Pelodiscus sinensis: one gene and its partners. The protein of the gene in region 2 interacts with the protein of the main gene of each other region in a biochemical or structural test. Links are inferred from orthologs where the notes say so. Each region holds a gene or a part of one and is shown on either strand. Other genes may lie near its edges. The genes, in order: AGAP1, ARF1, ARFGAP1 and PLD2.

Evidence for each region.
Region 1: of the proteins of ARF1 (region 2) and AGAP1, one has a biochemical effect on the other in vitro, tested with the Homo sapiens proteins (2 studies listed by BioGRID, with this or other methods). The link is inferred for Pelodiscus sinensis from reciprocal best matches to the Homo sapiens genes ARF1 and AGAP1.
Region 3: the proteins of ARF1 (region 2) and ARFGAP1 form a complex in vitro, tested with the Homo sapiens proteins (2 studies listed by BioGRID, with this or other methods). The link is inferred for Pelodiscus sinensis from reciprocal best matches to the Homo sapiens genes ARF1 and ARFGAP1.
Region 4: the proteins of ARF1 (region 2) and PLD2 form a complex in vitro, tested with the Homo sapiens proteins (2 studies listed by BioGRID). The link is inferred for Pelodiscus sinensis from reciprocal best matches to the Homo sapiens genes ARF1 and PLD2.

Annotation. Positions count from the first base shown.
Region 1 is NC_134717.1:63,192,239-63,199,887, forward strand, and holds the start of AGAP1 (arf-GAP with GTPase, ANK repeat and PH domain-containing protein 1), read right to left. Parts: upstream 3,004-7,649; 5' UTR 2,099-3,003; coding exon 1,264-2,098; intron 1-1,263. UniProt on the Homo sapiens protein: GTPase-activating protein for ARF1 and, to a lesser extent, ARF5. Directly and specifically regulates the adapter protein 3 (AP-3)-dependent trafficking of proteins in the endosomal-lysosomal system.
Region 2 is NC_134712.1:252,866,613-252,873,855, forward strand, and holds the start of ARF1 (ADP-ribosylation factor 1), read right to left. Parts: upstream 3,011-7,243; 5' UTR 2,866-3,010; intron 1-2,865. UniProt on the Homo sapiens protein: Small GTPase involved in protein trafficking between different compartments. Modulates vesicle budding and uncoating within the Golgi complex. In its GTP-bound form, triggers the recruitment of coatomer proteins to the Golgi membrane.
Region 3 is NC_134728.1:6,522,997-6,530,590, forward strand, and holds the start of ARFGAP1 (ADP-ribosylation factor GTPase-activating protein 1), read right to left. Parts: upstream 3,005-7,594; 5' UTR 2,859-3,004; intron 1-2,858. UniProt on the Homo sapiens protein: GTPase-activating protein (GAP) for the ADP ribosylation factor 1 (ARF1). Involved in membrane trafficking and /or vesicle transport.
Region 4 is NC_134734.1:8,308,651-8,316,414, reverse strand, and holds the start of PLD2 (phospholipase D2), read right to left. Parts: upstream 2,996-7,764; 5' UTR 2,918-2,995; coding exon 2,879-2,917; intron 1,247-2,878; exon of another isoform or gene 1,109-1,246; intron 857-1,108; exon of another isoform or gene 729-856; intron 1-728. Other genes in the region: PSMB6 (proteasome subunit beta type-6), read right to left, coding at 2,996-3,123, 4,396-4,540, 5,112-5,241, 5,388-5,519.

The DNA of each region.
Region 1 (7,649 bases), on a different chromosome or scaffold from region 2:
ATTTAGTCCATATTAAGAATTGCAAATAATTTAAAATTTGCACTGATAAGTTTTACAATACTTGCATTTGGAGAAAATCTTACCGGAAATATGTTTTTGCTTAACCAGCATTGCACACACCTCTTTATAAAAATGGATGAAAAGCATTGTTTTTCTTACATATCTACCCCGCAATGTAAGAATGTTGTCGTTTCCCTATATCTCTTTGTACTGTTAAAACAATTTAAATTACAGCCTAAACATTTTGGCATGAAGCAAATATCAAAAAGCTGTGTGAAAAATTAGATTCCTTGCTGTGGTTATTTCAAACTCTACAACAGTTACAATAGCATTTACTGCAGTCTCACATGGACATATGTAATAGTTTATTAGCCTGGTGCTCGAATGCATAAGTTATTAGTTGTAGGCATTACTTGACTGTAATGATATCTACAACCTAAAGAATGCAGTCATTATTTACACCTGACCTGTTGGGTTACTGGATGCAATACTTTGCTAAGGATGAAAAGCTATACTACAGTTAACTTCAAAATAAAAACACCCACGTACACTCCAGAAACAGTTTCTATTGCACATGAAAAGTAAAACACTTTTGTCATTGAATGTACTTTGGTTGTAAGCTATTACTTTTTCTGAACCTCTTTTGAAACCTCTGAAATATTTGTAGTCTACATACTGATATAATTCATGTCACACTACATCAATAATAGCCTAGTAAAGTTACAGAAAATGGAATTACTGGGAAGTAGAAAAAATATTTTTTCATACTGAAGCTGCATAACTGAAGTCCAAGTTGATTTTAAATCTCTCTCTCTCTCTTTTATTCGACATCTTATTCCAGGGCAGGATTAAAAAGACGGCCTTAAACTGCTGTCGGCGTGGGTCCCAATTACACTTCTTACTCCCCAACTGCTAGAAAGGAGTCAACTATCAGAGAGCACTTGCCTGACCTAGTAACCTATAAAAGGCAACTCAGGCGTTCTTCTCCCCCCTTAGATAAGGAACAAGCTGCACTTGGGCCCCGTTCCACTGCCCAGGCAGTGACCAGAGCTCCGGGAAGGCGCTGCCTCCCCGCTCATGCCATGCGCCTTTCTCGGGAGCGGTGCCCTCGTGTACCTGGTGGAAGGTGGAGGCAGCCTCCGGCTGCTCCCGCTCTAGCAAAGGAAGGAGGGCGCCTGGCGCTAGTCTAAGAGCAGCAGGAGGGGCGGTGGCTTCCCGGGCTCCGAGCCTCCCTCCGCCCCAAGCCCCGGACAGAGAAGGCACCTTTGCGCGGGGAGCCGCCGATGCTCTCGCTGCTGGACTGCGCCTCCGCGGCGGTTCTGCGCAGGCTGCTGAAGTAGCCGCGGGCCCGGGAGGCGCGGGCGCCGGGGCTGCCGAAGGGCGTGGAGGTGCCGGGCCGGCGGGTGAAGATGCCGCTGAAGAAGCGCAGCAGCCGGTCCGGCGGGCTGGCCCGCGCCAGGCGCTCCGAGAGCCGCTGCAGGTCGCTGTTGTCCAGGGTGCGGTTCTTGCCTTTGCTGCGCTCCCAGCGCTCCAGCGGCTCCGCCTTGCTCAGCACCTCGCCCACGTCCAGCGTGTTGCGCTTCTCGGCCGGGCCGGCCGGCGGGGCCAGGCAGCCCGAGCTGCGGTGCCGCTTGGCCCGGGACAGGGCCCGCGCCAGCTCCCCGCCGCTCCAGTGGCGGAAGCTGAAGCTGCGCCGCAGTCGGCCCGGCTCCGCCAACCCCAGCTCAGCCTCCGCCGGGCGCGCCGCGGGGCTCGGCCACCTGCGGGCCGGCTCGGGGGCGAGGCGGCGCCTGGCCACCTGCAGCCGGCCCAGCTCCAGCTGCCCGGTGCTCAGGGTCCGGAAGCGGCGGACGCCGCAGGGCCCGGCCGCCAGCTCCTCGGCCTCCTCCTCGGCCTCCTCCAGCAGCAGCCCGGCGCGGGGCAGGCTGGCGGAGCCCGGCAGCTGCCCGCCCGCCCGCCGCCGGGCCCGAGGCGGCTCCGCGGCCGCCAGCGGCTCCTTCTTCACCATGGTGACGGAGATGCGGTAGACGGTTCTGCGCTGCGGGGCGCCGCGCTGCATCCCCTCGGGGGGCGGCTCGCTGCCGGCCAGCAGGTACATGGCTCCCCTCAGGCCGCCGCCGCCGACCCGGCCATGCCCCGACGGGCGCTCCGGGCGCGCCACGCAGCCAAGTCGCTGGGCTGGGCTCGGCGCTGGCGAGCAGGCTTCACATCACCGAGCGCCGCCACCGCACGGGGCTCGGCTCCATGCGCTCCGGCTCCTCGCCCCCTCGGCAAGAGCCGGCCGCGCCGCCTGCATCCTCCCGCCGAGCCCGCAAGGCGCGCAGGAGAAGCGGGGCTGCCCCTCACAGCCCCGGAGCCGGAGCCGCCTGCGAGTTCATTGTTTACAGGGGTTGCACGTTGGCAGAGCTGGGTCCTTTCCCCCAGTCACTCCGCGTCTCTGCCCTCGCCGATCGGAACCCCGGCGCAGTCCTCCCGGCCGGCCCTGCCCTGCCCCGGCTGCAGGCGAGGGAGAGCTTTCAAACGCAAAGGCCCGCCGCCGCCACTTGCACAGGGGCAGAGTAACCCGACCCCCACGCAAGCAGCCCCTCCAACCGCAATCCGCGCCCGGAGTCTCCCAGCCGCTCGGCCAGCGTTCGCAGAGAGCGGCGCCTCAAGCAGGAGCGGCAGAATTGAAGTGCCGGACTGGATTGCTGCTCTCCTGCGGACTCGCTAGACCCAAACACACCCGATCCCCAGCAGCAAGGGCTTTTCAATGGAAAGAAGAGGAGAAAAAACACTGATCTTCCTTCCTTAGGCGGAGTAATACTTCAAGGGAAAGTTACTCATCCCATTGCCCTACAAGACCTAGCCCCACCTGCAATCATTCCTCCTGCACTTGTTGATAGCCACAGGATCAGTCATTTAAAAAAACTGAGGGCCACAGTGGCATATGCAGCTTTTCACCTGTTGGTCTCCTGTTACAAACCAGTTCCTGTCCATGGTGTCATTATCCAAAGAGTTAGAATTTGTCACATACTCTCAGTGAACTGTCACAGGTCCCAACTGGCAGTGAAGATATTCTCTAGGTTATGTCTACACAGCAGCATTATTTCAGAATAACTGATGTTACTCCAAAACAACAAAGTCCACATCTGCACTACAAGCGGTTGTTTTGACATGATGACAAAATAATGTCAAGCGGGAGGACTTCTTACTCCAACTCCTGTAACCCTAACTGTACGAGGAATAAGGAAAGTCGGAGGAAGAGTGCTCTCTCTCTTGGACTTCTTGCTGTGTAGACAGTACCAAAAGCCAAAATAAGATATTTCAATTTAAGCTACGCAATTGACATAGCTCAAGTTGCATCACTTATCTTGATGTGCTAGGAAGCCAAAACAGGAAGGGATATCTAGAATGAGCTATATTCTCAACCCTGAAAATACTTCCAAGTTAAGACTAAAGCTCACTAGCAGGTAAAAAACTGTGCTAGAACTTCAAGTGGTTCTACTCATGGTCTATCTGGTTCCGAACACTAGAACTGGAAGGGACCTAATGAGGTCATCAAGTGCCATCCCTTGCACTCAAGGCAGGACCAAACACCATCTAGATCCGTGGCATCTAACCATTTCTGAAACAGTAGCCACTACAGTGACTACTGCTATAGCAAACTAGGCACACTCAACGAGCCAAATAGCCCCAGTGTTTAGACCAACTAGCCACACTTAACCAGCCAAATAGCCACATCTGGCTAGTGGCCAGTATGTTAGACACCAAAGCTCTAGATCATTGCCACAGATGTCTGTCTAACCTGCTCTTAAATATCTCCAGTGATGGAGATTCCACAACCTCCCTGGGCAATTTATTCCAATGCTCAACCACTCTGACAGTTAATGTCCAACCAAACCTCCCTTGCTACAATTTTAAGCCTGTTGTTTCTTGGTGAACAGTTACTTCATTTTCCTGTGTTGTCAAATCTGGCACCCTTCACAAGTAACACATTTAGAAAAAAAACAGAGTAAACTAAAGAAGCTAAGAAAATTGTATTAACACCAAGAAAGGAAACCAAAGTTTTGTAAATGATAGCCCCTATTGTGCCTTCTTTCCATCTAAAATCAGAACAAAAACCAGATACATCTATTCAGTGATACAGTCACCTTAGCATTGGGCACACCTCATCTGCGCACACACTACTTCAACTTCAAACAAAGGGAATCTGTATAACACCATACCTATGTTGTTAATGGCCCCCTGTACTGCAACACATCTAACTCACTGAAATCCACTAACAACTTCACATGAGAGAGTGAATTATGGCCACCCATCCTTGCTTTTCCATTTAACTTTTTTTGCAACAGTTCACTAACTTTTACTGCTCATTTTGCTGCCAGATAGTAAGTATCTGTACCCAAATATTCACAATTTCTTCAGTCTTTTCTGCATGGATGTTTGCAGCTCCACTCCTAGAGTAAGATAACGTTTTGAAATCTGTATGATGTTTTTTAGAATATTGAAAGTGCCACTTGATCCTAAATGATCATTTTCTGTAAGTGCAAAAGTTACAGCACATTTAATCATTTCACTCCACAAACCACCTAACCATTATCAATTTTTAGTATTTCCAGACACTACTATTTCTAGCTGTTCAGGGCTAAAGTTGTCCTGAACTGTACAGTATTTGTGGAAGCACACAATACCTCCACCAAATAATAATACAGTGTCACAAAATATTAACCTAACACTAAGACAAGGTGGGTAAGGTACTAATATATTTTATTGAATGAACTTCCATTGTTGAGAGAGGAGCTTTCACCTTTGCATGGTTGAAATACCTCACCCGGCTGGAATCTCTAATACCTTGATACCAACACAGCTACACCTTGATACCAACACAGCTACACCATCACTGCACACAACCTCACTCTAAGTCACTGTAGTATTCATTATCATTGGCTATTGTAAATTATTCCAAAAAAACTCCATGCCACAATTTCCACTGTGCTGTATCACAGAAGTAGGTTTCTTACTATGGAGTGGAAGAATCCATTTCTGTTTTAGATGACTGAATCTTCAGTGGAATGACTTTCAAGCACAATCCAATAGTCTACAAGTGTTCTTTCAACCTCTTTAAACACACTATTCTTTTCAAAGAAAACATAGTCGTTACATCCCTTCTAGTTTGTATATTTCATCATCTATTCAGAAATCACACTCCTTCTCCCCACCAGAAAAGAATAGTAGTTCCCAATGCAAAGGATGGCACATGCAAAAAGCTCTTGTCAGTGTATACACTTGGAAACCTGCAGACAGGTTTTAGATTTTTTTACAATAGAAGTTATCCTATTTCAATCAAATAAGCTTGGTTCTTGTGGGTTTCTTACAATCTGCATCATTTAGAGTAGTTCAGATACCATTCTATACAGAAAAAACACAATTCCTTTCAAAGAGACCACCAGTGGAGGATGGACAAATTTGCTTTTCAGACTGACTAGTCATGCATTATTTACCATCCTGAAACTGACATAAGCTTTCTCTTAATGCAACTAAGTTTGCTGGCATTCAAATGTGTACCATCTAAATGTGCTGTCATTGCTTCCCTCAATTACTGGCAAAGGACTTACCCCATATCATTACTAACTTTTCTGGGACATTCTTGAACATATAATATTTCACCTCAGCAATGTTCTCATTCTAAGATTACCAAAACAGGAACACATATTAGTAACATTTACCTTTAGAATTCATACATACAAGTATAAAAACTGCTGTATACCACAGGTATGAAATCTAAATAAATGTCACTCAACCAAAAAGTAAGATGTCCAAAGACTCTGTACGTACTAAAAGCAAGAAATGCCAGGAAAATATTGTTTGTTAAAGGAGTCTCTCCAGGAAATTTTTTTCAAATTAAGCAATACTATAAAACATGTTAACTATTTCATAAATATTTATAGCGAATACATAAAGCATCATTTCTTTTGGCATGTTAACCAAGTTCAAGCGAAGTCCATCAAGGCACAACTTTCAATTTAGTATGTCAGTACAACAGAAATACCGGTACTTTAAAAATTATCTCCATAGAGGGCAGGACATTTCTGCTGGCTTATTCACACATCTCCCCTTCTATCAAAATCATGCTGGACTCATGTTTTTATCATAAAGATAACTTGCTTTATCTTATACTTGAAGGCGTGCAGACTCAATGAGCCAACAGGTCTCCTTTAGCTTCTCTTCAAGGACAAACAGCCACAGGTCAAACCTCTCTAGTCCAGAACTCTCTGATCCAGAAACAATCCTGCGGTCCACAATTATTTTAGTCAGTCAGATATCTACTTTTCATAGGTGTGGCCAAGTTTCCTGTGGTCCCATAAAATTTGTTCACAGCCACCAGAACTAGCTTTCAGTGTTTTGTGCTGTTATTTAGCTCTAATTTACCCCAAAATGACCTCTAACAGCCCAGTAAGCAGGAGCAGTGTTGGTAATGCTGCTAGACAATATTGACCTCCTATGGTCCAGCAAATTCTCTGGATCAGAACCGATCGAGTCCCAAGGGTGCTGGACTAGAGAAGTTCAACCTGAACTAACATTCACTGCAAAATAAACTGCACTGATACTTTAAAATATTAATGCGCACAATCACAATACAAACAATAGTTAACAATATTATAGGTGGATATTAATGTGCTTTTATTACATATTAATTTATGAAACATCCATTATATGCTACTTGTCAATAACTCCAATATTACATTTGTTTAAACAACTATTTATTGACGAGACTAACTGCACAGTATTGTAGTGGGCCTTTTTCCTGCCACAATCCACAATACTTCAGTCCAATCTTAGTAAAGTAACAGCTCATGATACTTGCCTGAATTCTAACTTTAGTCTCAACTCTTACTTCACAGGAGAGGCCCAGAATCAGAATACAGCAGGTCAGCCTCAGGTAGATCAGCAGACCCATATGAAGATTTCCGTGCACCTCTCCACAACGTGCATGGCCTCTAGCCAGTGTCGTCAGCCTCCCACTTTGAGGCACGCAACTGGGTTTAGTTTTAAATCACTGCTGAATGAGCCTCTAGTGCACGTGACTTTTACAATGTTTAACATTAATAGTAACATTGCTAAAACACAAAGTAGTGGCATCGTTAGCGGCCAGTGCCACAGATACAAGCTGTTTCTAGAGCTGAGTTCAACTTCCTCATCATCCCAGGTCATCAGAGGATCATATTTTACAATTATTTTTAACTTGGCCTTTACTCTTTTCCATTTGAGCCTCTGGGGAGGATTAAAAATGCTCATAAAATTATCCTTAATAACAATTAAGACAATTTACTGGTTTAAAGGTTGCCAGACAACCTATTTTTCCATTTAACAGCCCAGAAAGGATATAGCAAATGTTAATATATTTCCAGCCAACAGCTTTAATTCTGAAAAACGCTCTGGATGGACAGACTCCTACATACACACGAAACTCCTAGCAGAGAATTTTTCTCTGCTCTTGAGCAAAGTCTTAACACCTCTTCTAAAAACGATCTGGCAGACTGCAATCATTCTGAAATTCCCAGTCGTAAGCCACAAGCCAGTTATTGAGACTGTTTCTAAAGATTTGTCATTTGTTTCTGTAACAATGCAAAAGCCACACCCTTTAATACAGCATTATAAAAAAAGAG
Region 2 (7,243 bases):
CCCCTCTCCCTCTGTATCCTATCTCCACAGAGCAGAGAAGGGGGTACAACAGAGCTTGAGATGGGAGTTTGTTGGCTGCTTTTAGGAGTGGTGCAGGGCTAACGCAGGGGTGAGCCTGCCTTAGCTCTACTGCATCACCACCCAGGAGTCACCTGAGGTTAGCAGTGCCCAGCTGAAGCCCACGTCCTGAAACCCTACCCCAGTCATAAACCCCCTCCTGCGCTATTCCTGAGCACCCCTGCATCCAAATGCCCTGCCAGAGCCTGCACCCAGAACCCTCTCCAACACCCTAACTGCCTGCCTCAAGGTCAGCTCAGAGCCCCTCACACTGCAAATCCATTAATCCAAGACCAGAGCCTGCATCCCAACCCGCTGCCCCTGCCTCGTGAAAGGGAGGGAGGATGGAGGGAGTAGGGGCGGGGTCTCAAAAGAAGTACAAAGGAGGCTGGGCAAGGGTATTTGGGTTTGAGGTAGATCTTGGATTGCACTTAAATTCAAAAATTGATCTCATGCTTTAAAAGGTTGGAGACCACTGTCTTACAGTAATGCAGCTAGCTGCACGCACCTCTAAGCTCTCTAATGTCACTACTCTAAGCAAAGAGAAAGAGCTATCCAATCCATAGGAATCATCTACCCCTAACAAGCAGTATTGACTGTCAGCAGCTCTCCTAATAGTACTTTCAACACCGGTGCTACAGTTTTATCACTCAGTGGGGTGGCCTATTCAAGCCACCAAATGACATAACTTATGTCAAGTTAAACTGTAGTGTAGCCAGAGTTAGTGTTGACCAGATTTGCCCACTGTAAAGAATCCAGAGTAATGAAACTTTCCACTAAGCAGGTGCAACAGAAAAAGGTCATTTTGGAAAGATGAGTGAAAGAAGAAACCTGTGAATGTAATGAGTTCTTCATGGTAATTATGCCCTTATTTATACCTATGAAACCTTAATACCAAAAAACAGTTTTACACAGGGGTGCCACAGTGAACAACAGTGCTGAGTCACAAGAAGGTGTAGAATCTAGTCTACTATTAGCAAAGCCCTGACTACATTTTGTCAGTAGAGTCAGCAAGTATGACTCAGATCTACAAAGACCTGAGTTAGAATCCACCATTTTTATAGTACCCTTTCAGATCAGCATGCAAAAAAACCCACCTTTCAGATCCCTTTGTATAAAGTTATTTGCTGATACAAACTGATGCTGAGATTAGAAACAGACATTACACCCAATTCAAGTTTGCTGTATTAAGAACCCAGAGCAAATGAGTGGATACCATGATCCACTCAAGCCATCTACTTATGGACACAACCTACCCTGCACCTGATTCTAAAGGAGTTTTAAAGAGTGTCAAGTCAGGTAGTTTCCTCACCTTTTCATCAAAAGTTATGACTACTGTAAGGGGTTGGGGAAGTAAACAACACTTAAACTTTGCAACAATCATGGATGTGCAAAGTAGAAGTAACAGCATCAAACCCTAACACTATTTTCAGAAAATAATTTTCCTTCCATACCTATTTAATAGTGTATATAATGGCACCATTTTGAGAAAGAAAAAGAATATTTGGAGAAAAATTCTAACTTCCTTAAAGGAAGAACACAACATGGAATGATCCAAATTTGAGTAAGACACATGATTAGAGTATTAAACTTCTGTGGCAAAAGCAGTCATAGAATGGTCTGCTACATAACCTTAGATAAATCACTCAACTTTAAGCTCTCAGTTTCTCATCTGTACAACAAGGATAAACAATAATGTTCTTCAAAGAGGGGCTCAGAGACTCAGTGGCTGCATAGCAAAGTCAACTGTTCAAATAATATAGCTATAGGTGAAGCGGATGGATACAAAATAAAACTTCTGCATGCACGCAAATCAACCTGCGGAATTTGCTTTGCCAGAACTCAAACTCAAAATACTGTGCCGGGATGATTTTATGCCACGATAGTTTTAATTACACCAAGATGGAGTCAACCCATTCAGGTCTCATGGCGAATGCATGCTGCCAATATAGAGCCCTGTACTACTGGCAAGGTGCACTGTGTGGGGGTTGAAACAAAAGACAGGACAATGTAGCACTTTAAAGACTAACAAGATGGTTTATTAGAGGATGAGCTTTTGTGGGCCAGACCCACTTCTTTCGTGGGACTTCCAAGCGGGTCTGGCCCACGAAAGCTCATCACCTAATAAACCATCTTGTTAGTCTTTAAAGTGCTCCATAGTCCTGTATTTTGTTCCAGCTAGACCAGACTAACACGGCTACATTTCTATCACTATTCTGTGCGGGGGCTGCTCCCTTCCCGGGGTGCCACGCATGGGCCGCAGATAGCAGCGCACAGGCCGAAGGCTGATCTGCTCTGCGCCAGCCGGGGGCAGGCTGCCTGCCTGGCTCGCCCACCCCACGCCGTGCTGAAATCCTGGGGCGGGGGGAAGGCAGCAGCTCGACGCCCCGCTGGGTCAGCCCCTCTCAGAGAGCCCCCCCCCCCCACGCTTTCCCAGCCCGCGGGCGCTCGGAGGGGGAGAGCCGGCGACCCCCCCCGCAGCAGAAGGGCCGGGGCAGGGCCCTTCCGGGCTGCGCTCCGCGGCCAGGCCGGGGCGGAGGGCGGGGCCCCGAGCGGAGTAGGGGGATGGGGGCGGACCCGCGGTCAGGCCCCGGCGGGGGGGGGGGGGGGGGGGAGCTAGGCCTGGCTCCCCACGGCGCCTCCCCCCGCGCGGCAGGGACACGCCAGCCCGCCCCCGCTGCCCCGGGTCTCCCGGCGGGCCGGGCCCCGCCACCCAGCGCCGGGCCTCAGCGCGGCCTGCTGGGCCCGGCGAGGAGGGGGGGGGCTACGAGCCGTTGGCGGGGGGGGGGGGGGCGCGCGGCCGCTTACCCGGCGCTGGGGTCTCCTGCGGGCTCTCGCTCGGGGCCGGCTGCCTCCTGCGCTGCGCTCCCGCTCCCCGCCCAGGCTCACAAGATGGCGGCTCGGGGCGGCCACGTCAGTGTGCCAGGGCGGCGCGGGGCACGACGGGTAAAGCCCGGGGGAGGGCGGGGCGCGTGAGGCGGGTGGGGGAGGGGCAGCGGCGGGCGCAGGCGCAGTGTGGGGAGCCCAGAGGGGATGCGTTGCGGGGCCGTGACGCCCTCCCCTGAGTGACGTGTCTCCCACTCGCCCCAGCCCAGCGCCCGCAGAGCCTGCTCAGGGGGCGGGAGCAGAACAGGGAATCCCCCCCCTGTCGCCCGTTCCCAGACAAGCACAGGCCATCCCGACCCATCCTGGCTGACAGCCCCTGAGGGACCTAACCTCCAACTCGCTCCTTGTGGAACCCTGTGACAGTCCGAACCTTCACCACGTCCTGCAGCGAGGAGTTCCACAGGTGGACGGCGCGCTGATGCGTGAAACCAACAACTTCCTTTGGTTTGTTTTAAACCTCTTCGTTTCCTTTGGGCTACCTCTGCCCTGCAACGCTATTGCGGGATACCGGAGTATCCCCAACTAGCTATCCCGCGCCTTCACAGCAAGCCCGTTCTTTCGGGCTCACTAGTCTGATAGCCCTGTAAACCTCGTTCCACGAGGAATAAGGGGCGTTTCGGAAGTGCCGGGTTATTTCAAAATTTGGTGCTGTGTAGACAGCGCCAAATAACAAAATAAGCTATTTTGAAATAAGGTCATGATAAGATACGCAATCTTATCTTAATAAGCTCAAATTGCTCATCTTACTTCAAACTACGGTGCAGTGTAGACATAGCCTTGGTGACCCTTAGTTCTTATGTTATGGGAACAAGTAAATAACTTTTCCTTATTCAGTTTTTCCACACCAGTCATGATTTTATAGACCTCTGTCATAGCCTCCCTTAGTCTCCTCTTTTTTAAGATGGAAAGTCAAAGTCTTTTAAATCTCTCTTTATACGGGACCCATGCCCAACCCCTAATTATTTTGGTTGCCCTTCTTGAATCTTTTCCAATGACAAGATATCTTTTTTGAGATGAGGTAGTACCTGGAAAAACTTAAAAAACAACAAATAGTCCCGCAGCATCTTCTAACAAAAAGTGTATATGATATCATGAGTATTCGTGGGCACAACCCACTTTGTCAGATGAATGGTGTGTAAGGGGTCCAGTTTTCAAATACCCGGAAGCCCTAATCATTGGCCAGTATATCATTATTCTTACTCTTGATTAGAACTCTTTTCTTATGCCTGTATATTTACCTTCCTCTGGAATTTCCACTACATGCATCTGACAAAGTGGGGCTTCACACAGTTCTTCTTCACACAGCGTGTTGTCAACCTGTGGAACTCCTTGCCAGAGGAGGCTGTGAAGGCTAGGACTATAATAGAGTTTAAAGAGAAGCTGGATAAATTCATGGAGGCTAGGTCCATAAAAGGCTATTAGCCAGGGGATAAAATGGTGTCCTTGGCCTCTGTTTGTCAGAGGCTGGAGAGGGATGGCAGGAGACAAATCGCTTGATCATTGTCTTCGGTCCACCCTCTCTGGGGCACCTGGTGCTGGCCACTGTCGGTAGACAGGATACTGGGCTAGATGGACCTTTGGTCTCACCCAGTACGGCCGTTCTTATGTTCTTATGTTCTTATGGCTTTGCCCACGAAAGCTTATGCTCCAAAAAATCTGTTAGTCTATAAAATGCCATAGGAGTTCTCGTTGTTCTTGCAGATTCAGACTAACACAGCTACCCCTCTGATACTTATCATTATCCTAGGTGCTGTACAAAATGATATGCCTTCCCCCAAAGAGCTTGATGTTCTTGAGTAGCCACTCTTCCATTGAATGAGGAAGGGCTCATCATGGGTTTTACTGTCATACCCATTTATCAATGCTGTCCATACAAAGCATGCTCCTCTTTCCTATATAGACTACTGACAGCAGAGGTGAAAGTAAGTGGGTGCGACCTAGCACACAGCTCCAGAAAGAGCTGGCTGAGCTGCTGCAAAAACCAGTTTGGAGCTATTTAAAGAGGTGGCAGGGACCCGAGTTGCAATAGGGCAGTACCTGTATAAATTTTTAGTTACTTTCACAGATAATTGGCAGGCACCTGTTAATAAGCTTCAAAGTTGTTAGAAGACATGTGCATCCACAAATTATGATTTTCAAACTTTCACAGTTTGGCAAATTCAAAACAGACTTTCATCAAGACAACAAAAGGCATTTCTGCTGCCTCAGGGCTATTTTCCTGCTCAATTTCAACTTCTTACCTTCCCCCTTTTCAGCAGTATAGTGGTTATAAAATGCTATAATTTTTTTAGTGGAGATAGTATGCTTTGTTGAAAGAACTGGTTTTTTTCTAGTTTAAAAACACTCCAAAAACAGAAACCAAGGCAGAAACCAAGGCAGGAACCAAGGCAGAAACCAAGTCTGAAAAAAAACCCTAGAGGTTTTTAAATCTCAGCTTGACAAAGCCTCGGCTAGGTTATTTAGTTGGTCCTACGTTGGGCAGTGGGCTGCACTTGATGACCTCCTGAGGTCTCTACCAGCTCTATGATTCTATGATTTAGGCCAGTGAACCACAGACCGTTGCTGTTGGTATGTTTTGGGTGTCACAGTGGTATTCCTGTTTCCCGCTGCTGCCATGAGATCTGGGCTTGCCAGTTGCAAAAACCGAATGTCAAAGCAGATAAAACAATGAGGAGTTGGCCTAAGTGCCTCGAAGTATGCAGAAAGAATAGGACCAGTGTCAGGCACGGGAACCCCCTGTGAATTGGAATGGCTACTCACAAAAATGCAACATCCTGAGGATCATGGGAGAAGGGGGTAAGGAAGTCGAACAAGTGTGGGGGAGTACAGGTAGGGAGAGGGAAGAGAGATTAACATTGTGGAGCATATCTAAGTGTATCACAGAAGAACTAAATCACAGAGAAAAAGGCATAGCGGTAAAGGAAGCAAAGGGAACATACTTTCCTAATATTATTCATTTAAGTAAACATTTTCTGTAGTTGTGATAGGGATGTTCTGTGGTTCTGAATGGGGTGGAGATATGAGATGGGAGGGGACAGGGTTCTCTATTAAAACATGATCCGTCCATTCTGTATTAAAGCTTGAGAAGGCCTGGGTTAGCCAGCCTCAATTATGTGTGCCACCATGGTTGCAGTTATAAAGATTAAGCACACAGAGAAAGGCAGAAGACTGGAAGTCATGAGATTAGATTACGTTGCTACCTTTGCCACTCTGTCTGTGTCTGACCTTCATCTTCCTGTACCTCAGTTTCTCAGATTACTTACCTATCTCACTTCAAATGATACAAATGACGAAAGTGCTTTAACAGCCTTAGATGGAAGATGCTCTGAACAAGTCTAAAGCAGTAATGCCAACCCATATGTTACAAAATCAGTGCTCCCTCCCCCCCAAAGCTGTTGAGATTGGCTTAAAAATAATGAATTTCTAAAAAAAAAAATCTTTGGGTTTATTTTTATTTATCTTCTGATTTGTAGGTCTTTAAGATTTACAGGTGTCACATTGTCTAGCTTTTTTCTGCAACTGTGAGGCTAGAACCTGATTTTTTAACAAATGAAAGCTAAGATTCTGATGTGCTCACATAAACTCTACTAATTGGGGTTGTTGATTATGGGATTCTCCATAAAAACATGAAAATCGGCAACACTGGTAGGCTACGTCTACACTGGCATGATTTTCTGAAAATGATTTCCGTTAAAAGCATTTTCAGAACAGAGCATCTAGATTGGCAGGATACTTTTCCGCAAAAGCACTTTTTGCGGAAAAGTGTCCGTGGCCAATCTAGAAGCGGTTTTCCGCAAAAAAGCCCTGATCGCCATTTTTGCAATCGGGGCTTTTTTGCAGAAAATACTACTGTGCAGTCTACACTGGCCCTTTTGCGCAAAAGTATTTCGGAAAAAGACTTTTGCCTGAACGGGAGCAGCATAGTATTTCCGCAAGAACACTGACGATCTTACATGAGATCGTCAGTGTTCTTGCGGAAATTCAAGCGGCCAGTGTAGACAGCTGGCAAGTTTTTCCTGCAACTGTCAGTCTAGACACAGCCATAAAGTGGTATTAATCAGAAAGTGAAATAGATCAATCTATGGTTTTATTGACCACGGTGAACGAAGTTCAAGCAAGTTTACAAATTGCACAACTAGAGGAAAACAAAATTTGACTTTCAAAACTCTCTTTAACAACCAAAAGTATTATTAAATAAACATTGAAATCAGTTAATAGCTTAATAGTTTTCCATGTCCTGGGCTGTGAACATGAGAGTAAACTTCAGGGGCATGGGAATGGCATGAGGCAGAGGTGATGA
Region 3 (7,594 bases), on a different chromosome or scaffold from region 2:
GCTGGCAAAAAGCAGAGGACCCAAGTGCAGAAAGAACTTCAGTTCCTGATTCAGATAACATAGCTCCAGAGTGAGAGTCCATTACTCAAGAGAAAGCATTGCAGTGAAAGTTGTGACTGCCATGATCACACCAACTTTATAGTGCTATAGAAGTCATGCATGTTCACAGCAGTTCTGAGAGATAGACAAGTACATCCATTGTACAGATGGGGAAAGCGAGGCAGAAAAAGGTTAAGTGAATTAACCAGGGCTAGTGAGAGACCTATTGAAGCACCATTAGAATTCTAAAGTCCCTGGCTCCCAGTTCTGTGTTCAGACTATCTCCCCCTCCAGTATCCCTAGTGATCAAGACTCCCTCAGTGTTTATTTTCCTATGTGAATGTTTTTTCAATTATGGATTCATCTGTTCCAAGCATCACAACGTCATTAAAGTCAACCTAGAACTATAACAGAACTCTGACCTTCCATTATCTGGCTGTCTGTACTGATAATCAGTGCACAAAGGTCCAGAAGGGGGCAGTCTTTCTTGTGGCTACTACCTGGCACTGCAGCATTAGACTTTCCCATTCTTCAGTTTATCTGGATTGCTGATTATCCAATCAGGTCTCAGTCCCAATTAGATTGGATAAATGGGGTTCTGCGGTAGGCAAAAGCATGAGTTTTCAAAGTTGGGTCACAGGCCTGCGCAGGTAAGTCGCTGCTGAGCTGTGAGATATTTTGTTTATCTTAGCATCCATAGGCACAGAGCCTTGCAGCTCCCATTGGCTTTGGATCACTATTTGCAGCCACGGGGAGCTGTGCGCGTTGGGCTGCTGCTTTCCGCAGCTCCCCTTGACTGGAAACGGCAAAAGTCAATGGGAGCTACAAGGCTCCATGCTTATGGACACTAAAAAAAACAAAACATCTCGTGGCCTGCCAGCAACTTATGCGGATGGGCCCACAACCCAACTTTGAAAACCCCTGATCTACGAGTTAAGCCACAACCAATAGTAATACCCTAAGAGCTGGTTTTTTACATACACATTTACAGATACTGGTCATCTTTCAGAACTCAGCTGAGGAAACTGGCAAAGACAATTAAAATGTGTTATTTTGTTTGGAAGTTGGGCTCCCTAGGGCTTTTGCTACACTTCAAAGGCAGAGACACGCTATCGACTAATCAAATAGTCGATGTAAAATGCATCGACTAATCAATTAGTCAATATTTAACATCCCTATTAGAAATAATAAAACTAAAATTTCTCTCTGCCATCATCTTCCAGGCTAGTGTGTTTGCTTTTTCACCACAGTGGCCAGAAGTAGAATGCCTCAGCCCCAGCCCAGGCTGCCTTGGGAGATGGGAGTCAGAGCAGGCTGCTGTGTAGTTCTGCTTTTCCGCAGCTCGCACTGCTATGGTGAATGAGGGGGGCTCCAACCACCGCTGACAACACTGGCCCACTCAGGCCCCACAGACTAACCTGAGTATTGGGGACCATCCTGTCCACAGAATGGTTGGAGTGACCATCACAGGACCCCACCAAAGTGCAAGGCCTGGGAAGACCACCCCGAATCATCCTAATGATGGGACAACTCTTCGCATATCTCCCTCAAGCCACAGGGAATTGACAGCAGTGGCTCAGAGTGGTGGTGCTACCCTTCCCCCAAGGGGGCTCTTAAATTGCCTTGGGGCAGCAGGTGGGAAAACACAGGGGAGCGCAGGGGCCAGCAGACGGGGGAGGGTGAAGAACACATGGACAAACACACACGCCCAGGCCCGGTCAGAGAGGGGTACCCGCTGGCTCACTAGGAGGCTTTAAGGACAGGCCCTGGCCCGAAGGTAAATTGAGTTTGAGCCCCCTGCTGTACACCCAGATCCAACCCATTGAAGACGGTATCAGCACGTGGCCAGATTCGTAATGAGGATGGAGGCTTCGCCCCAGGAGGTTTCGGGGAGGGGGGAGCAGAAGAGTAAGGCTCTTCACAGGCGCAGGGGAGAGTCTCACTGGACCAGGGCTGCCTTTTTTTTTTTTTTTGGACCACATGATTTTAACCTTTCTGCCTTTCCAGGGCAAGATCAAACCATCAAGTGGGGGCGGGGGGGGGGAATGCAACTACCGGGGGGGTGATCCGGGCCCCACCTGCACGGATGGCTGGTCATGGGGGGGGGGCTGATCCGGGCCCCACCTGCACGGATGGCTGGTCGGGGAGGGGGGGGGGCTGATCCGGGCCCCCCCTGCACGGATGGCTGGTCCGGGGAGGGGGGGGGGCTGATCCGGGCCCCCCCTGCACGGATGGCTGGTCCGGGGAGGGGGGGGGCTGATCCGGGCCCCCCCTGCACGGATGGCTGGTCGGGGGGGGGGGGAGGGGCTGATCCGGGCCCCCCCTGCACGGATGGCTGGTCGGGGGGGGGGAGGGGCTGATCCGGGCCCCCCCTGCACGGATGGCTGGTCGGGGGGGGGGAGGGGCTGATCCGGGCCCCCCCTGCACGGATGGCTGGTCGGGGGGGGGGAGGGGCTGATCCGGGCCCCCCCTGCACGGATGGCTGGTCGGGGGGGGGGAGGGGCTGATCCGGGCCCCCCCTGCACGGATGGCTGGTCCGGGGGGGGCTCCCAAGGGCCAGGCGGGTCCCAGCGAAGGGACACGCCCCGGCGGCAGTGAGACCGGCCGGCAAGGACCTCACGTCCGGGGCTGCCTCGACCGACCCAGGGCTCGGGGGGGCTGGGGGGGGGTTGCAGCGGCTGCCGTCTCGCCCCGCCGGGGAGCCCCCCACCAGGCCCGAGGACAGGGGGAGGGGCGGTCAAGGCCCAGAGGAGCCCGCGGGGGGGGGGGGGGGCGCTGAGGGAAGTCGGGGCCGGAGGGGGGAGGGGCCGGCTCGGTACCTGCTGCGGCGGCCCCGGCTCCTGCTCGCACCCGGCTCCTCAGCGCGCAGCCGCCGCCGAACCCGGCGACGTTGCACGTTCGCAAAGCATGCTGGGCCGGGGAGAAGGGGTTAACCCCCTCGGGCCCGGCGGCCTGCGCGGCAGCTGGGCGGGGCCGTCGGACGCCCGAGAGCGACCGACGCGGCGGCTCCAGTGAGCCAACGACAGGGCCCGACGCTGCCCTCAGCGGGACTCGCCCCGCCCCCCTCCGCACTAGGAGCCCGCCCAGAGACTCCGCCCCTGGGGAGTTTGTCTGCACTGCAGCGCTATTGCGGGGGGGGGGTCCCCAATAGCTATTCACGTCCCCAAGGGGGGGTCCCCAGTAGCTAATGACGTTACTTGGGGGGGTCCCCAATAGCTATTCACGTCACTGGGGGGGTCCCCAATAGCTATTCACGTCCCCAAGGGGGGGTCCCCAGTAGCTATTCACGTCACTGGGGGGGGTCCCCAATAGCTATTCACGTCACTTGGGCTGTGTCTCGACTGCAGGGTTTTTTCGAACAAAGTCGCCTTTTTTTGAAAAAACTTCCCCTGCGTCTAGACTACAGCCGCGTTCTTTCGAAATTAAAAATCAATGTCTGGATGCTCTCTTTCGAAAAAGAGACGCCTGTTTGCAGTCAAGGACGCCTCTTTTCGAAATCGGCTTTTCTTTCGACGGCGGTACGCCTCATTTCACGAGGAAGAACGCCTTTTTTCGAAAGGGCTCTTTCAAAAAAAGGTGCTATGTAAGGCAAACTGCTTTTTCGAAAGAGAGCATCCAGCCTACCTGGGTACTCTCTTTCGAAAAAGCAGTTTGCTTTTTCGGAAGTACTGATTGTAGTCTAGATGCTCTTTATCGAAAGAAGCTTTTTCGAAAGTATCTTTCGAAACAGCCTCTTTCGAAAGAGGCTTGCAGTCTAGACGTAGCCTAAGAGACGCAGCTTGCATCGCTCAAATTGCGTAGCTCATTTCGACCTGCGGTGCAGTGTAGATGCACCAGTAGCATGGGGGCCACTGACGGACAGAAAAATCAGTCAGAGCCACACACAAGTGAAAAACAAAAAACGAGCCCCCACTGATGTGGCCCCCAACAGAGGAGAAAGATATTCTGCACATTCCCCCTTGCTCACCAGAGCCTAAGGGACCCCAGATTAGTAGATTTTGTGTGGTGAGGCAGCAAGGCGGCTGGAGCACCAGTGCAGGCTTCCCATTGCTGGGGGGTTCTGGGCCTGAGGTTCCCCACCCCGGCCACAGAGACCATATGCTACTCATTTTCAGTGCTATACCTGTTCCAGCCTTGATAGTAAATGGTCTATTGTCCTGCCATGGTTATATGGGGGATTAACAAGAATAACTCTTTTTACTATTAATGGTGGCTACATGCATAATCCTTGCCTTACATTAAAGAGAAAATAATGGACTCCAAATATGTGTACATTGGAGGCGGGCAATGAAACAAAGTAAATTCTACGGGCTCGTCTACATTGGCCCCTTTTCCGGAAGGGGCATGTTAATTTCAGAGATCGCAATAGGGAAATCCGCGGGGGATTTAAATATCCCCCGCGGCATTTAAATAAAAATGTCCGCCGCTTTTTTCCAGCTTTTAGAAAAGCCGGAAAAGAGCGTCTACACTGGCCCCGATCCTCCGGAAAAAAAGCCCTTTTCTGGAGGATCTTATTCCTACTTTGAAGCCGGAAAAAAGCGGCGGACATTTTTATTTAAATGCCGCGGGGGATATTTAAATCCCCTGCGGATTTCCCTATTGCGATCTCTGAAATTAACATGCCCCTTCCGGAAAAGGGGCCAGTGTAGACGTAGCCTATCTGTATAATTTGCTTTTCCAGTTAAGGACAAAGTGACTTCTTCTGATAAGTACCATTATTTTCTGGTAATATGAACTAATATGAAATGAGGTTCCCATTATATACACACTATATGAGAATCTAATTAGCGTATCAATCATACTTTTTCTATAATTGATTTAGGGCACAGTGGTTGGTATCAGCATTGATTCTGCAGTGTGTCTGATAGGTTTATTTTGCATATTCAATACTTTATGCTTGCAGCCTCAAGGGAGCACTGTTGTGCAACATTTATTCATATGCCACAAATGATGCAGCACTGAGGTATTAATACTGTCTCTATTCTTGGTTAATATACCAAAGAGGAACATTCTAACACTGTCTGGGCAGCATAATCTTCCAGTGGCAGCCTTGGCTGACTGAATCAAAATTGCCACTAATAATGTGGGAGCATATTAATGCATTGCTTGCTCTTTTACAGAAGATATAAGTTATGAATTGCATGGAACAATAAATAGATCTAGATGCTTACATTTGCACCATGTGGTAGCAATATTGCAACCCTTCCTAACATGAAAGAAGTCTTCACTCACACAATAAATCAGAAATAGGAGTAAGTACTTGTGTGAGGATTACAGGATCAGGGCCTTTCATTCAGTGGTAATGAGACAAAGCCAGCACTGGCTACGTCTATACGAGTTTTTCCAGCAGAAAATATGCTAATGAGGGCAGGGCCGGCTCAAGCCATTCCTGCTCCTCCAGCAGCGGGCGCGTGATACATGCGCGGCTCAAACCCCGGGCACACGGCACATGCACGGTCCCGCCCCCCAGCGCACTGTGCACCTTACAGCTGCAATCGGGCACGTGGTGCCTGATTGCAGCTCTAAGGGGCGCCGCGCGGTGCCCCTTATAGCTGCCATCAGGCGCCCCCCATAGGTTGGCGTCCTGGGCAGCTGCCCGGCTAACCCCCCCTTAATCCGGTCCTGAATGAGGGACTCATTAGCATAAAGCGTGATCTAATTTGCATTTTTTCTGCCAATCCATTTTTTCGCTAGGGGTTTTTGCGCAAAAACAAGCAGTGTGGCCATTTCCTTCATGCACAAAAACCCTTTTTTACGCAAGATCAGTATACCTCTTTTTTTTGAGGCATAAGGATCTTGTACAAAAAGGGGTTTTTGCACAAAAAGAAAACATCCACACAGTTTATTTTTGTGCAAAAACCCCTAGCAAAAAAATGGATTGGCAGAAAATATGTAAATGAGATCACGGCTTATGCTAATGAGTCCCTTATTAGCATATTTTCTGCTGCAAAAACTTGTAGTGTAGATGTAGCACTATGTCTCTCATACACAGCATACAAATGAATCAATGCAGTTCCCTAGCAAGTTTGAATTGCTCTGTTCCTCGAATCTGGGACAGGTACATAACCCCATTGCCATCTCTGAAATTGGAGACAGATATCTGTAGTGTGGGAGTAAGCAAACATTTTAAATATTAACATCTAGGACTCAGAAAAAAAAAGTCAAATTCTATCTTTCTTGGTTGACTGGCTACTAGTTGGACTTCAAATATGTATTTGGGTATTGTACAAGGGTATTTAGGCTTGAGGTAGATCTTGGATTGCACTTAAATTCAAAAAGTGATTTCATGCTTTAAAAGGTTGGAGACCACTGGCTTAAACTGAAAGGGAACAAGTGAGTATGTGGTCCCTCTTTTTAACATGTTTACGTAACTCAGGCTTTGTCTACACTACGAGGTTTTTGCGGCAGAGAGTATGCTAATGATCGACTCATTAGCATGAGTCGCAATGTCATTAGCAAATTTTCTGCCAATGCTTTTCGCACAAGGGGTTTTTGCGCAAAAATAAGCAGTGTAGCTGCTTCCATTTTGCGCAAAAAACCCTTTTGTGCAAGATTCCGGAGAGGCATAAGGATTTTGCGCAAAAGGGGGTTTTTTTTGCACAAAATGGAAGTGGCTACACTGCTTATTTTTGCGCAAAAATAACCTTTGCGCAAAAAGCATTGGCAGAAAATATGCTAATGACATCGCGACTCATGCTAATTAATCCATCATTAGCATACTCTCTGTCACAAAAACTTGTAGTGTAGACATTGCCTCAATGTAGTAAATCCAAGGACTGATCAGATGGGGAGATTTGCAATAAATGTTATCATTCAGTTTCTGCATTGTAATTAATTATAACTTATGTAGCAATAATAATAAAATCCTAACAACGAAACCTGGCACATTTTTAGCTTTCTGTATCTCTTCAATAACCTCCAAGTGCCACTGGTGGGAAATGTGATAAGACCTGGAGCTTTTTGCTCTACACTGCACCCTCTGATTTCCTAATGGCACTTCTTAGAAATAAAACACTCCTACTCCACGAGTGGTTAACTATAAGGTCGTTTACACTAAGCTGGCCTGCTTCTGGGAAGAAGGCATCTTAGAAAGCATTCCACGATGACTTCTCCCAAAATAAATATATTAATTAGAGTGGTTTTGTCTGTGTTTTCAAAAGTGCTGTACTTGTTATTGACACTTAATGCTATAGTTAATTATAGTAAGCACTTTTGGTCCTAATCCTGCAAAGACTTAACACAGTTAAATCTAGACATTCCAGCAGTCTTAATTATTTTCCCTGGGTTACTCATTTGTGTAAGTCTTTGCAGGAGTGGGACCTTAGTCTTTTAATATTATTTATATTACATGAGGGAAATAACAGAGATAAAAGCATGTTAAATGTTATCTTCCACCTGAAGAAATCTTAGTAGCCTTTAATAGAATAATTGCTTCCCTCTGATTGTACTGTATAACTTGCCTTGTTACTCCCTCTAGCCTCAAGTACTTGCTTATAGGTGATGCCAGTTGTTGAAAAATCACTACTTAGGATTGTATCCACACTTGCAAGATCTG
Region 4 (7,764 bases), on a different chromosome or scaffold from region 2:
GCACCAGAGCGGCGCCTGAGCTTGCAGGTTTGGGCAGGCGGGGCTGGGGAGTTATACAACGTTCCTTTCCTCTAAGCCTGGGAAGGGTGGCGCTGGCAGAGAGCCCCCGGGCCTCGCATCCCCACAGCCCCTCGCTCCCACCCACAGCCCCGCCGGCGCCCCTCGCTCCCGCCCCCGGGCCTCGCATCCCCACAGCCCCTCGCTCCCACCCACAGCCCCGCCGGCGCCCCTCGCTCCCGCCCCCGGGCCTCGCATCCCCACAGCCCCTCGCTCCCACACACAGCCCCGCCGGCGCCCCTCGCTCCCGCCCCCGGGCCTCGCATCCCCACAGCCCCTCGCTCCCACACACAGCCCTGCCGGCGCCCCTCGCTCCCACCCACAGCCCTGCCGGCGCCCCTCGCTCCCGCCCCCGTCACAAAAGTGCTAGAAGTTCACGGAGATTTGGAGTCCGCTACGAGTCACGTGGGGCAGCGAGATGGGGGGGGGGGGCAGCGGACCGTCAGAGCTCCCCCCGCCGCCTCCAACGTGGCTGCACGCAGGGGGGTCCCTGTCTGGAAGGGGCAGGGGAGAACCGAGACCCCTCCCACGAACCAACTGGAGCCTGCCCTTGTTATGGGCGGAGAGCAGGTCCAGTCCCCCCACCGCGGGGTTCAGGAGGCCGGAGACCCCTGCAAGGCGGGGAAGGGAGTTTCCAGAGACTCCCCCGCACGGGGATCCCGGACACTTACCCGGGGCGTCCCCGCCCGGCCCCGATTCCCTGCGGCGCGCCGGGCTGGGCGGGAGGCGGCGGCGCTGCCCGGGAAGGGAAGTGGGGGAGGGGGCTGGAGCCAGTCCCGGGACAGAGCAGCCTCCGCCCTATCCCAAGCAGGGCACACTCCGCCCCACAGGCTGGGTCCCTGTGGGATGGTGGGGGCGTTGCTCGGGGAGACCCTACAATAACAAATACTGCTGCTGTCCTGAGCGCTCCCCAGACTCTACTGGGGATCAGGACAGAGCCATGGGCTGGGAGGTCAGGCCCGGCCCGGCTCTGGGGTGCGTCTCCCGGCAGCCCCTGGCTCCCCCAGCCCTGCCAGGGCCCCGCACTCCCAACCCGCAGCCCCTGCCAGTCCAGCCCCGTACCTCTGGGGAGGCTGGGAAGCTGCCAGCAGGCAGTGCCTGGCAGACACGCCCCAGAGCCAGCTGCACCCAGCTCCATAGCTGAGAGCAGGGAAGGCTAGGCGGGACCCAGGCATCCAGAGATCTGCAGGTAAGGGGGGTGGACAAGGGACTGAGTGGCCCGGATTGGGGTAGGAAGTAAGGAATTAAGTAGCTTTGGGGGACAGAGGAAAGGAATGGCAGGGCAATGGAGGTGCCAGGTTCCCTGCCCAGGGATGGGGCACAGGGGAGCCATTGGGGTGATGCTGGGAGGGGGGCTGGGTCTGAGGGCCCCTGCACAGATTGTGAGAGTTCTGAGGGAAGGAGGTTGCAGCTGCAACCCCCATGAGTTGGGGGGCAAAGACCCCCACCACAGACCCTGCCAGAGCCCCTGCTCTGCCCCACAAGCCACTGGGCAGATGGGGTTGAGGCTCCTGCGGTGCTTCTGCTGGGCTGGGCATAGCAAAGGGGCCCTCAGCCCACAGGTGAGTATCTCTCATCCTCCCCCCACCCATTCATCCCTTACTCCAGAAGCCCCCTTCCCAGACCCCCCCCCCCACCCTGCATCCCACTCCCATGCCCTCTTTCCCCTGCAAGCAAGCCACTGTCCTGCTCCAAGATACCCAACCTTTTCCCTTTCCTGTCCTCCAGCAACCCCTGGTCATCCCATAGAGGGGGGACCTGCCCCCCAAGCCCATTCCACACCCTCCACCTGTAGCAAGCTGGATGCCCCAGCCAGAACGCATGAGTCTCCTACCACCAGCTGAGCTGTGCCATCACAGCCATTGACTCCATGTGCTGATGAGGGCAGCCCCATGGCCCCAGCCTCCTGCGGCCATCAACTCCACGTGCTAATGACTGAGGCAGCCCCACAGTGCCAGCCAGTCTCCTGGCTCCAGCTCCCCATGGCCAGAAAATCCACATGCTGACTGGGGCAGCCCCATGGCCATCGACTTCATGTGCTGATGACTGGGGCAACCTCATGGTCAGGGATTCCAGCTGCTGGCATGGAAACAGGGACCCCCAGCACCAACCAGCCCTGCTGACAGCACAAAGACTAGGACTCACAGAAAGGCCCTAAGCCAGCATCCCAGATTCCCCTGCCCTTTGGGCTAAACTCTCAACCCTGCAAAGAGCTCTCACCCAAGAGGGCCCCTTATGGTTGGACATGGGGTTGGAGGGGGTTGCGGTAAGCAGTGGGAGGCAGGATGTGTTAATTCCCCCCCCACATCCATTTCCATTAAGAAGATTCAGAGCCAGGTGAGGTTTTGGTGTAGGAACCTGGGCTGGGGGGACACTGGCTCTGAGCCAGAGTGGCCCCCAAATGCCCACCCTATGCCACAGCCCAACAACTAGAAACTTCTCCCACCAGTGTCACTCCTAGGCTGGCAAGGGCTGTAGGGCAGGAGTGAGGGTCAGCAGCACAGCTGGGGGAGCCTATGACTGGGGTAGCAGGGGCTGTGTATCAGCATTGAAGGGCACCAGATGTGCTCCATCAGGTCTCATGTAGGGGCTGAGGCTGGTGGGCAAGATTGAGTGGTGCCAGTTGTAAACAGCCCCCACCCCAGCCTGGCCCCTTTGCACAACTTAGTCCCGGCAGAAGACCAGCCCCTGGATCTGCAGGGCAGAGAATAGGCACATTCTAACCCCCGCAGTGGCTGCATATCAGCACCAGGTTAATCCGAGTCCAGGCCTCCCCGCTCCCCTCCACAGACAAGGAAAGAATCCAGGAGTCCTGGCTTACAGGCTCCCCTCCCCCAAGCTGGGCAGGGAACCCAGGCATCCTGTGGAATCATTGAGGCACATCATGGGTTCCATAGTTTAATAAGTCAGTGGCACAGGGTGTGTAGGGTGTCCTCCGTCAAGCAGCAGAGAAGCGTGGCAGCTGGTTTCCCAGGATGACTTGCCGTTCCACGCCCTGTTCTGTGATGGCAGCCAGCCGGATCACCCCCCCACTCGAGCCATCCCGGTCCATGGCCAGTGCTAGGGCTGCAAGGGGAGAAGAGGAGAGCATACGGGGGGGGGATAAGCACAGCATAGATGCCTTGGGCCAACCCCTCTGTAACAATATGGCTTTTCTGTAGCCATGTTGGAAGGCCTGAACCAAATCCACCTTCTGCAGCCAGACTGAAGAGCAGTAGCCATTAGCTGTAAGGCCTCAAGTCACATCCTCACATTCCATCTAAATTGTATTCAAATAGCATCACACCAATCTGTGAGGAGGGGATTTTGTCCTGATAGCTCCTCCACTGTTACCAGATAAAGAAACAGATCTCAAGATGGGTAAAGAAAACTTAAACAGTTTCTTGCCAGACAGAATGGTGTTACTTATCAATAGAGAATGTTGTGGAATCCTCATTCTATGATCATTGTCATTACACTTTCCTATTGTTTGACTGAGAGATCTGTCTGGTTTAACTGTTCCTGTCTGCTGTATAATTAATTTTGCTAGGTGTAAATCAATTAAGGTGGTGGGGTATGATTGGTTAGTAAAATTATACTAAAATAATTGGTTACGGTATAGCTAAGCAGGACTCAGGTTTCATTATATAAACTCAGGTCCAAGAAGGAGACCAAGAAGAAGATAGAAAGTAACAGAAGCAGAAGGAAAGAAGCAAAAGGCTGGAAGACCAAAAGCAGACAAGAAACACCAAGAAGAAGGGGGAAGACCTAGAAGAAAAAAATCACCTCCGAGACACAGCCTAAGACCAGACTGTGACTGCAGCAGCTAAGATCTAGAGAGATCTTCCCCTTCCCTGGCCAACAGGGGAAGTCTGCCTGTACCAGGATTGGTGAGCATGACACTGTGTGCTTAGCATGTGTATTCTGCTTGTTTGGGAATTGTCAATAAATAGAGGATACGGATATTACTGTGTGAGGCTCTTTCAGTGGCTAAAGATCCTGCCTAACCCGCAGAAAGATGTGCCCTGAGCCTTAGGAATTGGGTACGGGTGAGTGTGTAAATTAACAGGGTTGCACTTTGAGCCCTAGGAACTGGGTAAAGGTGTGTATCCCTACAGTGTGGAAGGCATAGAGAAATCTGAGCGGGTAACACCTCCTTCTATGGACATACAACCCACACTGCCATCCTGGATGCCTGGGTCCCAGCTGCCCAGGATAGAGGGGTAAAATCCCGTTTAATTATTTAATCAGTTAAACATTAAGGCAGGCAGGGGCTGCTCCTGGGCAACATGTAATGCTTACTGGGTAACTAGTTACCCATTCACATCCCTAGCTGTGAGAAGCTGAGGGTCTACTCACCATTGGCTGTGAAGCGCAGACACTCCTCCTGGTTCATGCCCGGCTTGTAGGAGGCATCAACGAAGCCATAGATGTAGGAGCTACCTGAGCCACCCACTGAGAAAGGCTGGCGAACCATCATCCCACCCATGGGCACCGAGAACACCTTGGGGCAGAAAGACGGAGAGATCATGGCTGGGACAGGGTGGCTGGTTACACAGGACCTCCTCACCCGATGCTGAGAAGCCAGGTACACAGGGACTAGGGATGTTACAATGCATTTAATTAAACGAGTTACTGCTGAAAGTTTCAATGGTTACATGGTTATGCGTGGGGGGGAGGGGGGGGGAGGAGAACAGCTCCTCATGACCTGGTGTGCACCAGGTGCTGGCTTTTAAGACAGCTCCCCACACGTGACCATATACACAGTCACTTTCAAATCCCTAATAGGGACTCCTTGCCCAGTGCTGAGATGCAGCCACCTGTGGGGCGGGGCAGCTGGCTACAGAGACCCCTTGCACAGAGCTGAGATGCAGCTGCCTGTGGGGTGAGATGGCAGATTACCCAGGGACCCTTCATCCAGTGCTAAGTTGCAGTCACCTCTGAGGCCCCCAGTGATCCCTTGCCCCACTCCCTGTCCCACAGTGCTCGTTAGAGATACCCTGACTCTGCGTGCCCCCAAGGGCTATGTCCCTAACTCCACCTGCTGGGCTGAGCCCTAGGATGACACCGCTCACCTGTCCCCCCTTGCGCCTGTCCCAGCCAGCAACGATGATGCCAGCGGTGAGGTCCTCGCGGTAGCGGTAACACATCTCCTTGAACAGGCTGGCGGCCGTATGCACCAGGGGTGGCTCGTCCAGCTCAATGCTGCAGGGGGAGGGAACCACAGTCAGAGAGGAACCAGGGACTGACTTCTAGGGGGTGCCAGCTCCTGCCCAGCCCCTGCACAGGGACAGGCTGGCTCAGATGGCAGGGAATGGAGAGCCTGCTCTGATGTGGCCCAGGGCAGGTACCTGTGAAAGCCCAGCTGATAGGCCACGGCATCAGCAATGGCCTGCGTGTCAGCAGCAGAGCCAGAGCGGCAACAGAAGATCCGATCGTGGATGGGCGTCAGTTTGTCCGTCACTCGATTAGCCACATAGGAGCTGTGGAAGGTGGAGTCAGATGATCAGTGCCCTACAGAGCCCCACCGCCCTGACACTCTACCATAACAAACTTGCCCATGAGACGCAGGTGCCAACGGAGACGACACATCCGGCCCCAGTGCACTCAGGAAACCCTACAATAACACTGGGCCAGGGATGTGTCATTTCCTCACCGCCCCATCGGTTAGACACCTCGTAACCACCAGCCTCCAGTAAGAATGTAAAAAGTTTTTAAAATGTACCCGTGTAACTGCTAAAAATCTCAGTGATTATATGCTGCAGGCTCTGCAGTATGAAGCAATAGGCAATGAAGCCTCCCTGGACTGCCAGTCCAGCTTCCCAGGAGAAGGCTCTGCCACCGGTGCACTCCCAGGGAGCCAGTGTGCAACCTGTGAGGCAAAAAGGCCAGGGGGTTCTCTGGCCAGCTGGCAGGAGCAGCCCCTACCCGTGGAGGGCCCCACAGGGCTGAAGCAGCTCCCGTGGGGCTGGAGCTGTGGGAAGGAAGCTGCTCCAGCCCCCACAGGTTAAGGGTGATGCTTACCGGTTAACCAGATAACCATTTACATCGCGAGCATCCAGAGCCTGCAAAGGACTCTTGCATGGCCCCTGTAAACAGTCTGCCCTGCCCCACAGGAGACCCTATCAAAACTCAGCCACCGCCCAAGTTCCCCTGGGGGATCATACTAAAACACAGCCACTGCCCTCCCTCAGGATGTAGCAAAAATGTATATTTTAGTATCGGTTATAAGCAGGGCCCACCGAACCGTGGCAAGCCCTGCTCACCAGCTGCACTTTTCGGCCCGAATCCGGCTCTTCCGGGTTACAATCTATTCGCCACGGGCAAGTAGACTGTATTATTTGTCGAGCCCTCATTATAAAACTAGGTATGATGTATAATTATTTGCAGGCTCGACGATTGCAGCAAAAACCACTCGCCAGCCCCGCACTGCGCATGTGCGAGACCAGCACTGCACATGCGTGAACCGCCAGTGAACGGGGTGACCGGCTGAAAACTACTCCCCATGGGCGAGTAGATAAAGCCGATTTGTCAAAACCTGATTATTTGATGTATAATGACTTGCTTATAAGTTCTATCTGCTTCTATTTCTCTCTCTGTCTCTCATGAGTAGATAATGTTACTATAAGGCCTTGCTCCCTGTTAGCATTACAAATTAAGTTGTAACCCTTGTCTGCATCACAAACTAAGTTGTGTCTTTCAGTAATTATTGATCTTGTCTGAAACTGCACCTTTGTGTGGTGTGAGTAGAAGGCGTGTGAATGAAAGCCATCACAGATGCGCAGATGATCAAGAAGTGGAAACTTTGAAGACAATAAGGAACCCTGCATTGTGTCTTGAGACTGAATTAAATTGGCAGCATGGACAACCTTGAAGACAGGTAGAAACCCCACCAAGAGTGAGAGAGAACGATGAGAAGCCTGACAATCACTATCAAAGGTCAAAGATTAACACCTCCTTTAAGGATGGGTGATTGCAGCAAAACCCATAGGCTATGTCTACACTGGCGGGTTATTGCCTAAGAATCCGCAGAGTGTCTACACTGCCCGCCTGCTCTTGCGAAAGGAAATTTACAGTATGGCATGGAAGAGACGGCTCCTTGTGCAAGAGCTATGCTCTTTTTTAACACGTGTAAGCCCTCTTTGCACAGGAGCTCTTGCGCAAGAGGGCAGTGTGGACACTCACCAGGGATTTCTTGCACAAGAAAGCCCGATGGCTAAAATGGCCACCAGAGCTTTCTTGCTCAAGAGAGCATCCACACCGCCATGGGCGCTCTTGTGCAAAAGCACAGCTCACACATGGCAGTGTGGACGTTTTCTTGTGCAAGACTTCTTGCACAAGAACCCTTGGCAAGATGTTCTTGCACAAGAAGCCACCAGTGTAGACAACCATAGACTCCAATAGGAACTCACATGTATAAGAAGGGAAGGTCTTGCCATGAAACTCTGGGTTCAGTCCTTCAAGCCAAGCCAAGCCACAGAGGAGCCCTGACTCCTCACTCAGCCTTGTCTAGACAGTAAGACTGACTTATGCACCATTGGGTGGTGTGGTGTGTGTGTCTTTATAAAGTGTGTTAACTGCTTCTCCACTGTATTCTCAGTAAACACTGTGTATTGCCTTTTCCCCTGAAAAAGATCCCCATGCTTCTTACAAGCATAGCAAGGAGACCCTACCAAAACACAGCCCACTGCCCCCCCAGGAGACCCTACCAAAACACAGCCCACTGCC